Notamacropus eugenii: one gene and its partners. The protein of the gene in region 3 interacts with the protein of the main gene of each other region in a pairwise test. Links are inferred from orthologs where the notes say so. Each region holds a gene or a part of one and is shown on either strand. Other genes may lie near its edges.

Region 1 (3,747 bases), on a different chromosome or scaffold from region 3:
AACTGGCTGTGTGACCTTGGGTAAATCCTTTAAGTCTCTGGGCCAGTTTCCTGATCTGCAAAATAAGAGTGTTAGACCATCATTTCTCTGGTTCCTTCTAGTTCCAAGATTCTTTGAGTCTACACAATGTCAATGGGAAAAGACTGGAGCGAAAGAAAACTCTGCTGTCTGTGGCAAGGTTAAAGAGAAACCTCAAAGATCCAACTGCATTACATCATCTCAGAGAGCAGTGTTTGTAAATATGCGAGTGTTTAATTCTCTGAGCACACAGGAGAATTTCCAGCATTCCTTTACCAGCTGGATCAGTGGCTAAGATGATTCTATTAACAACACCTTTCAGTCCCAAAACTTCCTAAAAATATATGTGTAAAATCACTTTGTACCGTTGGTCAAATGGGGTGACTCTGAAGAGAACCTGGAAAAGTGGAAGTTATTAACTCTATGGAAACAGTTCTGAACAGGATGTGAAGGAGAGGCACAGACCTAGTTATAATGAGAGGGGGGATTCCAACCAGCAGAACGCAGCCAATCTGGACAGGACACAAAAGGCCAGTGGCCTATTGTTTGCAAAAAGAGTCAGGGCTTATCAACCAGGACAAGAGGCCAAGACCTCACTCAATTCTAACTCGAAGCCACACCCCTCCCAGCCCAGCACAACTGGATCTAGAATTGAGTTAGCTCCCTATCCCTGCTCTAAACCTACTGGGGCTTTCAGTCAATTGATGAGAGAGACCCTTCAGAGCACACTCTGGAGGGGAGCTAACTGAGGAGATAAAGAGATCCCAGCATGGTGGGAACTGCAGATTAAGCCTCTCCAAGCAGAAGGAAGCAACTGGCTTCCCATTTTAAAGCCTCCCAAGCATTGGTTGGAGGAAGGGTTACAAAGCTCTCCCTAAGTCCTCGATGTTATAAAAAAGGTTTCCTAACATAGATACAGGGAGAGGAGGAGGGGACACTTCCCTCTACCCTGAAACAAAGGAAAACCTAGATTTCCAGCCATGTGTTATAACATTCAAGGCCTATTTCCCATCCCCCAGCTGATATCTCACTAGACTGAGGCACAGGGCTATCTCCAGTGACTGATTAGCTAGCCAGGTTGGGTAGCCACACAAATGTTGGTTGTGTGTTCCTCATTAACAGGCAGGAATCCAGGGAAGGAAGGGCAATAAGGAATTTGGGAAGGAGCTCTAGGAATGGGGGATTCACTAGTCAAGTCTATCAGTGGACCTAGGAGAGCTGAGAACTGGTCAGTTGCCTCTACAAGTTTACCTTTTCATTCCTGTTTTGCAGGGAAATAATTCAAGGCTTCAAAATAAAGAAGGAAAAGAACAAAGGGTTAAACACAGATCTTTCTTTTCCTTTTCCAGAACCACAACCCTGGGGAATCAAAATTCAGTTCAAAACCCATGTCACCACATACAAATTCAGGGTGGAGGGTGAAAGGATGGAGGTTGGGTGCCTTGATTTCTACTCTCCACATAGCAGGCTGATCCTAGATGTAGCTGGGCAGGTATGCCTAGCAGCTGATGTTCCTGGACTGTTTTGTAATACCATAGCAAGTCTTACAGTTTAAAATAGCTGCAGTAGGAAAAAAAACACTAAGAAAAAAACCACCCTTATAAACCCAACCTCTGCAGGAGCTTTCCAAATAAAACACCTTCTCTAGGTTGCCTTTTCCAGCCCAGATTAGTCTTCAGGCTGTGAAATGCATCTCCAAACACCTGTCAGATTTCAATCATTCCGAAGACCCAAACTCAAAAGCAGATTACCCCTTTTATCCTTTCAAGAACCACGTGCCCCCCCACCCCCCAGTCTAGGCAAGGTAAGGGGGCACTTACAGTGATGGCCTGGTCCCTAGGGCAGACCTGAAAGCTCTGGAAAATTTCCATTAGTGCCTGTGGCCCCTAGCCCTGCCATCCTAGGGTGGTACACACCCTCATCCCCCTCACCCGACAGTCTTCTCTGAATAAAAACTCCCCCACCTGCTCTATCCAGGGAAATGAAACCTTCCCGACGAGCCACAATAGACTATATTTAAACATGTATATATGTGTGTGTGTGTGTGTACATATACGTGTGTATATACAAGTACATATGAATAGGCGTATACAGCAATTTTCAAAGACCACCTACCTTTGACCTGAGTATCGTATTCTGCTATGATCTCCTTATCCTTTTTGAATTTAGCCGGAGACGTCATGTTTCTTTCCTAATTCAGCTCCCGAATGGATAGATCCACCCGAAAAAAAACCCGGCCCACTCCAGTTAAAATCCCCGAGATCTCCTCTTCCGAGGGCGGCTGGGTCTCCCGGCAGAAGCCAGCGCTCCGGGGAGCCTCAGTCCGTAGCAAGGCTGCCGGCTGGGGAGGCAGCGAGCGGCCAGCGCGGCGGGAACATGCAGATGTTGGCGGTGGCGGGGGCCGGGGCCGGGGCGGAGCAGCGGCGGAGCAGCGGCGTCGGTGTCCTAGTGCCGAGCCCCGAGCCGCAGCATCAGCATCAGCCAGCCGAGCCGCAGCGCCGGGAGGCTGTCCTGGGGACTGACATCAACGGCACAGGCAGGGAGTGGAAGTCCTTCCGCACAGCACCATGGTGTGGGGGTGTGGGGATCCGTGTGCGCCTGACAGTCAGTGTCGGGGCGAGGGTGTGGGGGTGCGTCTGGGCGTGTGTCCGTGTGTGTGTGCGTGTGTATGTGTGTGCGTGTGTGTGTTATGTGTGTCTGTGTGTGTGCGTGGAGGGCTGATCCCAGGCTTGCTTCTTTTTTGGTTTGGTTTGGTCTTACGGGCTCCTGAGATGATGCAAATCAGATCCCAAATGGGAGCTGCAGCAATGCAGGATCGGAAGTCGTTTTCTTCGGTTCACTTGCCTGTAAATGCAGGAAAAGGGGGTGGGGGAGAGGATGGAAAAGGGGGTATCAGCGGGAGTGCAGATACAGATACGCAGGCGGGGGCGGGGGAGGCGACGTCTTCCCAAACTAGGGGCTGCGGAGTCCAAGCCCCATTCACCCCCACCCCAGGAGGGTGGGCAGCAGAGGGGTGGAGGGAGGTGCGGCAAGGTCAAGCTCCCTCTGAATTTAAAGAGACAAAATCCCTTCAAAGCCTCGGCTCGCTCGGAGCCAGGGGAGGGAGGGCTGCGGGGACTCAGCCGCAGCCACCCACCCCACCCGCCCCCAATCCTGCCCGACCTGAGCCGTGCCCAGCCCCAGCCAAAGCCAAAGCCTTCCTGGACCTAGAAGGCGGCCATCGGACCCCGCCCCAACCCCAGTATCTCCCCTAGACATCAAAGGGCGATCAAAAGGCCAGGGCAGGGGGAGGGGGTGCGGATGCAGTTCCCAGCGGGGACGAGCTACTAGCGCACAACTTTTCCTCCCCTTCCTCCTCCTCGTTGTTTTGTTTTTGGTTACTAGCTTCCCTTGGCAGCAAATGTAAAAGGCGGGGGGATGCCAGGAGGAGGGCGAGGTCTGCAGGGAAAGGGGGGGGACCCTACTCTGTACGAGCCACATCCAGAGGAAAAATGTGGCCGGCAGAGGCAGGAAACGGGGCCGCAGAGCCCCGCCAGGACACCATCAGCTAAGCGCGGGAGGGCAGCCCTGCCTTCCCCCAGCCACCCCGCTCCAGCCCAGCCCAGCCGGCCCTGCGGGGATCGGCCCCGCGCGAGAGGGGAGACCCCTCCTCCACCCGCACTCTCAGTCACATCCCCGCCGCCCAACTCCAGATCCCGGAGCCCTCTAACCCCGGGGGCGCATTCTCCA
Region 2 (3,747 bases), on a different chromosome or scaffold from region 3:
GTCTGTAAGCTATTTTATAAAAATGTTCTGACATCAACATTCCAGTACATTGTTTTATAAAAGAATCTCATGTATATTGTGTGTACATATTATAGACATGCATGTATGAACATTAAAAAGATCTTTTAAAAAAAATCCTGACAGTATTTTAGATGCTGACAATTTAACAAACATCTCATATGTGGCCAAATTCTCACTTGTTTTGGTTCCAACACTTAAAATTCAGCAAGATACACTAGGCTGAAGACCTCCATTTCAATATGCAAAGTTCAAGAATATACTTTGAAATTTCGAGTAAAAAAGTATTTCTAAAGGTATAATTAAAGGGCTCAGTAGGGCACAATTTATCATCAATGGAGGATTTACTTCACGTACTTACCACAGCATAAAAGAAGCTGAACAGTTAATTTAGTTTATATTTGTCAATGGTAAAAAAAAAAATAGCGAAGTATTGTACAAATATGATAGTGATGTAAGTGATTTGATAACACATGGACTGTGATCAATAAAAATGGAAATGCCAGTGTTTTTAGATAAACAATGAATCATTTTATAAAATAGACCATAATTAACACTGTCATTTATTTTTGCCGAGTTGTAGCTCTATTCAGAAGCACAAATCACACACAAAACTCCATTTTCCTCTACTGTTAACATGTAAAACGGTATTACAGCATTAGACTGTAAGCCCCCTGAGAGCAGCCTGTTCATCTTTGAATCCCCAGCACCCGAACAGTGCCTTCAACCAGTACACATGCTTAACCAATACTTGTTGGAAGGAATTAAAAAGAACGCAAGTACTTTGTAATTTAATAAAACAGCACAGGAAGAATACAACGCATGACTTCTGTGTCCCAGGAAATTTTCTGTCATTTTTCATGTTAAATTTTTTGCTCAAAGTTAGGCACAGGATGGCCTGAACACGTGGGGCTCGTACAACGTGGGATTCGCAAAATAATTTAAAGAATTATCCAAAAATTAGCTGTAAGCAGCAAACACATTTCTGAAGGCAACTTCTTAAATTGGCAGAGGGCACGAAGCTGCCGATCACGCCAGGTAAGAGCACGGAACACTCAGTTTATGTCCAAGCAGCCGAACGCCTGGCAGGTACACACACACCTGTGCGCGCCCTTCTGCCAGTTAGACCCACAACTGCCCATCACGCGGCCCGGCGGCTGCTCTCAGAACCCGGTGTCTGGGTCTAACCCAATCCCTCCTGACGGGCTCAGACACGGAGGGAAGGGGCTGTTTTGTGCGATTTGCGGCTTCTGAGGACAGCACGCGGATGACAAGGGAGGATGGATGGACGGACGGACGGACGATGACACATGGCCGCAGGAGTCCAAGAATGGGGGGGCGGGCTCCGGGGGCTGGCTCGATGACAAGCCCACAGCGGGGACGGGGGTTCGGGGTTCCCCCCGGGACCACCGGGCCCAATCCGGCGGGGAGAGGGGCGGCCTGCAGGCACCCCTGCTGGGTGGGGGGAGGGGCGGCCCGAGGGCACCCCTGCTGGGCGGGGGGAGGGGCAGCGCATTTTTGGAGTCCTGCTAGGCCATCCACGAGGTGACGGGGGGCTCTCTACCTGCGCTGGCCAGAGGGTTACCAAAACTGAAGGGGGCCGCGGCGCTGGTGGAAACGCCGAAATTCCCAATATTAAAGTTCACCGCAGGATTGGCAGCTAAGCCGAAACCCCCAAAATTAAACCCACTGTTGGTGGAGCTGGCGGCGTCCAGCCCACCAAATCCTGACGGGCGGGGAAGGGGAGGGGGAGAGGGAGAGAGAGAGAGAGAGAGAAAAGAAAGCACGTAAGCATCGCAGAGTCCGGTCCGACGGGCAGCTCCCCGAGGGCAGGCCCCGGCTCCCCACTGCAGAGCACCGCGGGGGGGCGGGGCGCCGGCCCAAACAAGCGGGAGTCCCCCCTCCCCTTCTCCCCCAGGACGTCGGGCGCCGGGCGGGGGGGACCCTGAATCTCTTCGCTGAAGACCCCCGCCCGGCTGGCCCTCGAGGGTCCCCTCCCCGCCCTCAGCTGGGGGCGCACCCACGCGGGGCCGGGCAGGCCTGGGCGGCCCTCGGGAGGGGTCCCCGGCGGATCTCCCCAGCCCGCCCCGCCCCCGCTCTGCACACTCACCCGCGGGAGCGGCGGGGGTGGCGGCCGTGGCCGTGCCGCCCGCGGGAGCCCCGAAGTTGAAGGCCATGGCGCCGCCGGGGCCGCGGCGGCTCTCACGGGGCGCTCGGTGCAACCAGTGGAAGGGTCCGGCCGAGCAGCGGCAACCCGAAGCCTGAGGGTTCCCGGAGCGGCAGGTGGCGGCGGGGGGGGCGGGGCCTCGGAGGAAGCCCGCGTCGCGTCTGTGACGTCACCGAGAAGTATTACGCGAGGCGCGGCGCGGGGAGAGTGCGCATGCGCACGGTGAATCCTTCAGCCGGCCCGGGCAAATCCTGGAAACTGGTACCTTCCTCCTCCCGCCCCCCCAGGGTCTCCGCGGGGATCTTTGGGGGTTTGTCCCTGCCTTTTGTTCTCCCGTCCTCCTTCCCGAAGGTTTCCTTCTCTGCCCTCGTGCGAACAAAGAATGCGAAAGAGACAAAGAGGAAAGAGGGGGAAAGCGCGCCCCAGAGCCCTCCCCTCCCCCGCGGATTGGGATCAGCTTGTGATTGGGTCTTAGAGACCTTTATGGAAGCTCTTCCCCTCCCCATGCAGGGGCGGGGCTCATCGGACGCCCGATTTCGGCGGTGGAGAGGGGGCGGGGCGCTCCCGGTGCCGGGGTGCTGGGGTGCCCCCTGCTTGGGCCCCGGCTCGAAACCAACGCCCGTTCTCTCCCCCATCCAGCTCGCCGTGCCTGGGTCATCGGGTCACGTGCCTGACCTGGCGCCTACGTCTGTGTGTCCTAGGCTCGGACGTGGGCCTGCTCCCTTACGTCATCTCGTCTAACCGGGCACTGATGGGGGCAGTCCTGACCGTTTGTGGGCGGTTCAGGTCTAAAGCCCCGCCTCCATGGAGCCCGCCCTTCGCTCGTTCCCGATGAACTCTGGGTAAAGTAGCTGCGCAGGAGATACCAGAAGTGCCTGTTCCTTTAAGAAGTAGCCCCTCCTTAGCCACGCCCTAAGCCCGCCCTGGTCCCAGGGCTGGGCACGTGCTTCCCTGTAGAGCATCCTAGAGAAACTTTACCTGGACCCCTAGAGTTGCAGGTTTGCTGAGATCTTTCCCAAGCGGTTGTTTGCATTTGTTCCTGGAGGCAGTAGGGAGGTGACATGATCAGACCTGAATTTTAGGAAAATCTCTCCAGGGGCTCGAGGATGGACTGAGGTGGGCAGAAGCAGCCAGCAGCTATTGCTGCTGCTGGATAACTCTCCTTTCATGAATTCGTTTACTGGAGAATTCTGAGAGCTGTGATGGTTTTCTGGGTCCCCAGCATGTGGTGGGAAGGAGCCAGGTTCGTGAGTGGCTATCTCCCCCCATAAGAAGAATCAGGGAAGCAACTTTTGATCAGAACCCATTATGCCCCTAGGCCAGAAATATTTTCCAGGTATCAGATGAATATCATTTTAATCTATATGTTCAAAGACGTTTCTTTCTGAAAGAGCATTCAGCCTTGGCTTCACTCCTGAGGACTGCTTACCTCTTCTGTCTTTCCCTGCCCCTTGTCCCCCAGCTAGAGTGCTGGTGGTAGAGATATAGCCTTAGCTCTTCTCCAAGAGACAGGCTAGACCTCAGATCGTATCACATAAATATTACCCTTTTAAAAACCCTCT
Region 3 (3,747 bases):
ATGATCTGATTTTATCAATGGAAATATCATTAAAGAAGTATTAGCATCTGCTTTGCCACTTCATCCTAAGGATCATGGGACCTTGTCATCTGACATTGGTAAAATCTACATATGTTCTCTCCCATTAGAATGTGAGCTCCTTGAAAGTAGTGACTGTTTTACTTTTATATTTGTATCCCCAGTGCTTTTGTAGCTTGTAGCACAGTGCTTTTCACATATTAAGTACTTCACTCATTCATTCATTCCCTACTACAACCATCTATTCAAATTCTAACCATTCTTCAAAATCCAACTGGAGTCATAGCTCTTCCCTGAAGCCAAGTCCAAATGGATCATAAATCAAAGACTTAGAACTAGAATGATCTTAGATGTCACCCAGTCCAACTCTCATTTTACAGGTAAGGAAACTAAGGCCTAGAGACGCTTCCTGGTCTACCCAATATCAATTAGTACTATTCCAGCCCATGTTGATTTTTCCCTTAGATCTCTCTAGTATTTAATGTACTATACAATCTGCCACTTAATCATATTGTTCTTTCCACTAAAATCTTAATCTGATACCTCCTCATGGCACAGAGGTGACTCTAAGCTCTCTATGTTTGTGGAATGTAAACTCTGGCAGGTCTGGCATCAAATGGAAGTCTGGCTATTCTTCTGTATTTCTGTCAACTGAAGACTAGCATAGCTAAGTAAGGAGACCCTGAATGCCAGCTTAGCTACCACATACATTTTTTTTATCTACAGTACTTCAAACACCACAGCTAGGACAGAGAAGTTGTAGTCTGTCCTGGAAGAGCTAATGCCTGTCACTAAGGAAACTAAGGATCCTTTAAGTATTTTTCTGTATGTATTTCATTTATTTGTCTTAACTCCTCAATTATACCCTAAGATTCTTTGAAGGCAGAAACTGTCTGGTATTTAGGACTGCAGATTTTTAGCTGGAAGGGATCTGAGAGATAGTTTAGTCCAACTTTTTAATTTATAGATGAAGAAACAGGTCCAGAGAAATGAAGTGACTTGCCCACAGTCAAAAAGGTACCTAAATGGAGTCTTGTACAATGCTGGGCATATAGAAGATGATCAATAAATACTTGTTGATTTGGTTTAAAGTGAATAATGGTAAGAAGGCTAAAAGGTTTCCCCATAGTCAATATGGCACACTAGCAGGAATTTTATCAGGAGATCTCTATTCTAGACCTGACTGCCCACTACTTCAATGTAAGACCTTAGGCAACTTACAAAATCTCTGAGTTTCAGTTTTCTCTTCTGTAAAATAAGTGGTTTGTACTAGATGAATTCTAAGGTGCCTTCTACCTGTAATAATTACTGATTCTAATTAGTTATGAAACAAATGAGAAAATAGATCTCGTGGAGGACATGCAATTTAAACAGGAGATAGTGTTTTCCTACTCAGCTGGAAAAACAGGAAAATTACAAATTACTCCAAAGGTAAAAATACTCAGTTGGCCTCTGGAATAGTACAACTCTGGTAATACAACAAACGTTTCTAGCTAGAGCCAAAGAGTATCTAACTCCTTCATTTCAAACATGAGGAAACTGGGGTCTTTGAGAGGCCAAGGGACCCATCCAAGACCAATTACATTTGCTGTGGGATAGCAGCAGTACCAGGTTAGAACCCCCGGTTCTTGACTCCTACTCTGTGCGCTGGCCACCACTCACTTTTGCCAGGGAACATTTGCGGGAACCACGCATCATTCCTTCTTTGCTGCAGGGAGAGTGGAGAATTCAGGATGCACTCACATAAGGGAAAACCCAGACATGCTCTAGAGCAGGAATTCGTAATCCTTTTTTGTGTGAACATCTTTTGCAATCTGCTGAAACCCATGTATCCCTTCCCAGAATTTATTTTAAAAATTTATAATAGAAGAAGATACTAATTTTCAGATGAAGGTTAGTGAAAATAAAGATGCAGGTTCTTTTCCCCCATATCCAAGTTCAAGGTCCCCCTAAAACTGATCCGCAGATCCCTGTGGGAGAGGTGTCCACTGATCTCAGGTTAACTCCCTGCAGGGCTCAGTGGAAAAGGAAGACTCTGGAGGTACGAGAAAAAATATCTGGCCTCTGACAATGGCTAGCTGTGTGACCCAGGTCACTTCACCCTGTTTGCCTCAGTTTCCTCATCTGTAAAATGAGTCAGAGGAGGAGATGGCAAAAACCACTCGGGTATCTCTGACAAGAACGCCCCAAATGGGGTCAGGAGGACGCTGAACGACAAAAATGACCATTATCCTGTCAGGAAGCTAAGCCCCGGACCCAGGCCCGCGCGGAGCAGGAGCGGAGAAGGCGCGGCCTGAACGCTCCCCTCCGGGCCCGCGCGGGGGGCAGGGCAGGGGCGACGCCGGGGAGATGACGGCCGCGTCTCTCCGGGAGAGGAGCGGCCCCGAGGGGCGACCACGGCCCTTTCCCAAGTCACCGCGCACAGGCCGCGGCCTCCGCCTCCCCCTTACCCGAGCCGCGCCGGGCAGGCTCCTCCGTGAGGGCACCGGGCTGGGGCCGAGGACGCGGCAGTTAGCCGGAGAGCTCTCTCTCTCTCCCTCGGGCTCCGTCTCTCCAGGAAGCTGCGGAAAAGCTCCGGCCCCGCCCATTTCCTACATCCGGTCACGTGATCGGGAGTCAAGCCGGAAGGAGGAACCACAGAGAGGGAGGGAGGGAGAGGCAGAGAGAGACGCAGACAAACACAGAGCGAACCAATAGGGACGAGGCTGGGAGACCCGGGAGGGGGCGGGGTCTGGGGCAGGCCCTCTATCCCGTGGACTTCTGGTCACTTCGCCCTGGAACGGGGCACCTTTGGGAAATCTGTAGTCACCCTCTCAGAATAATATTTTTAAATAATTAAAGGGAGAGCTCAATTTGCTAGTGAAAATTTAAACCCAAACCCCTCTGCCTCAGGATGTAAGCTCCTTGAAGGCTGGGACTGTTTCCTTTTTGTCTTTAATTCCCCATCGCTTGGCACCTCACTTGTTGATGGATTTGGGGTCTTCCAGTTGAATGAGGAAACTTGCTCCTACGGGGGCTGTACCACAGATGGCTACAATGTTTCATTCGCTGAGACACTCAGAATGTTACTAAGTTACATTAAGTATTGTATCTACCTTGTGTAAAGCACTGGACGAGGTGCTGCACCTACAAAGATTAAAAAAAACACGCCTTTGCCCTCGTGGGATTTACAGGAAAGCATTATGGTGACTGAAGCTTTGAGATGTTCTTTGCCTAAGGTCTGAAATTTAAACAGAGATACTTATTTTGCCAGTTTCTTTTTAATTTTGTTGAGTGATTTGTTCTTTTGGGGGCACATGAGATGGGGGTAGATTTAGAATCAGGAGGATCAAGGTTCAAATTCTACGTCAGACCTCGGTTGACAACATGGCATGCTGGTCTACTCAAGCTCTGTTCACCTCAGGCAAATTCCCTATGCTTTACTTATCACATGATCAAAGGAGTTTGTTCCTCACCGCAGAAAACACCTTTTCGCCTTGTTGGCTGAATCCTTGCTGTGGTCCGTCAGGTAAAGATCACTTTTTTCTGGGACTAAAGACCCTCCTTTGCACTGAGAGGACCTCAGTCCAACCTCACTGCTTATCCATCACTTGATGTTACCACTTATCTTTTGGAATGGGAAGGGCTCTCCAACTGGAGGTTCACTGCCAATGCTTTTGTCTGCGCACCCTTGTTCTCTCTCTCTGGTCTGTCTATGTGTGCTGTACACACATATATCCAGAAGAACTC

Evidence for each region.
Region 1: the proteins of EXOC1 (region 3) and SRGAP2 interact in a two-hybrid assay, tested with the Homo sapiens proteins (2 studies listed by BioGRID and IntAct). The link is inferred for Notamacropus eugenii from reciprocal best matches to the Homo sapiens genes EXOC1 and SRGAP2.
Region 2: the proteins of EXOC1 (region 3) and NUP54 interact in binary tests that used the Homo sapiens proteins (3 or more experiments, as listed by UniProt). The link is inferred for Notamacropus eugenii from reciprocal best matches to the Homo sapiens genes EXOC1 and NUP54.

Annotation. Positions count from the first base shown.
Region 1 is NC_092873.1:433,186,135-433,189,881, forward strand, and holds the start of SRGAP2 (SLIT-ROBO Rho GTPase-activating protein 2), read right to left. Parts: upstream 2,274-3,747; 5' UTR 2,201-2,273; coding exon 2,134-2,200; intron 1-2,133. UniProt on the Homo sapiens protein: Postsynaptic RAC1 GTPase activating protein (GAP) that plays a key role in neuronal morphogenesis and migration mainly during development of the cerebral cortex. Regulates excitatory and inhibitory synapse maturation and density in cortical pyramidal neurons.
Region 2 is NC_092878.1:151,165,480-151,169,226, reverse strand, and holds the start of NUP54 (nucleoporin p54), read right to left. Parts: upstream 2,293-3,747; 5' UTR 2,196-2,292; coding exon 2,129-2,195; intron 1,745-2,128; coding exon 1,583-1,744; intron 1,136-1,582; exon of another isoform or gene 881-1,135; coding exon of another isoform or gene 802-880; intron 1-801. UniProt on the Homo sapiens protein: Component of the nuclear pore complex, a complex required for the trafficking across the nuclear membrane.
Region 3 is NC_092877.1:107,220,181-107,223,927, reverse strand, and holds the start of EXOC1 (exocyst complex component 1), read right to left. Parts: upstream 2,699-3,747; 5' UTR 2,469-2,698; intron 1-2,468.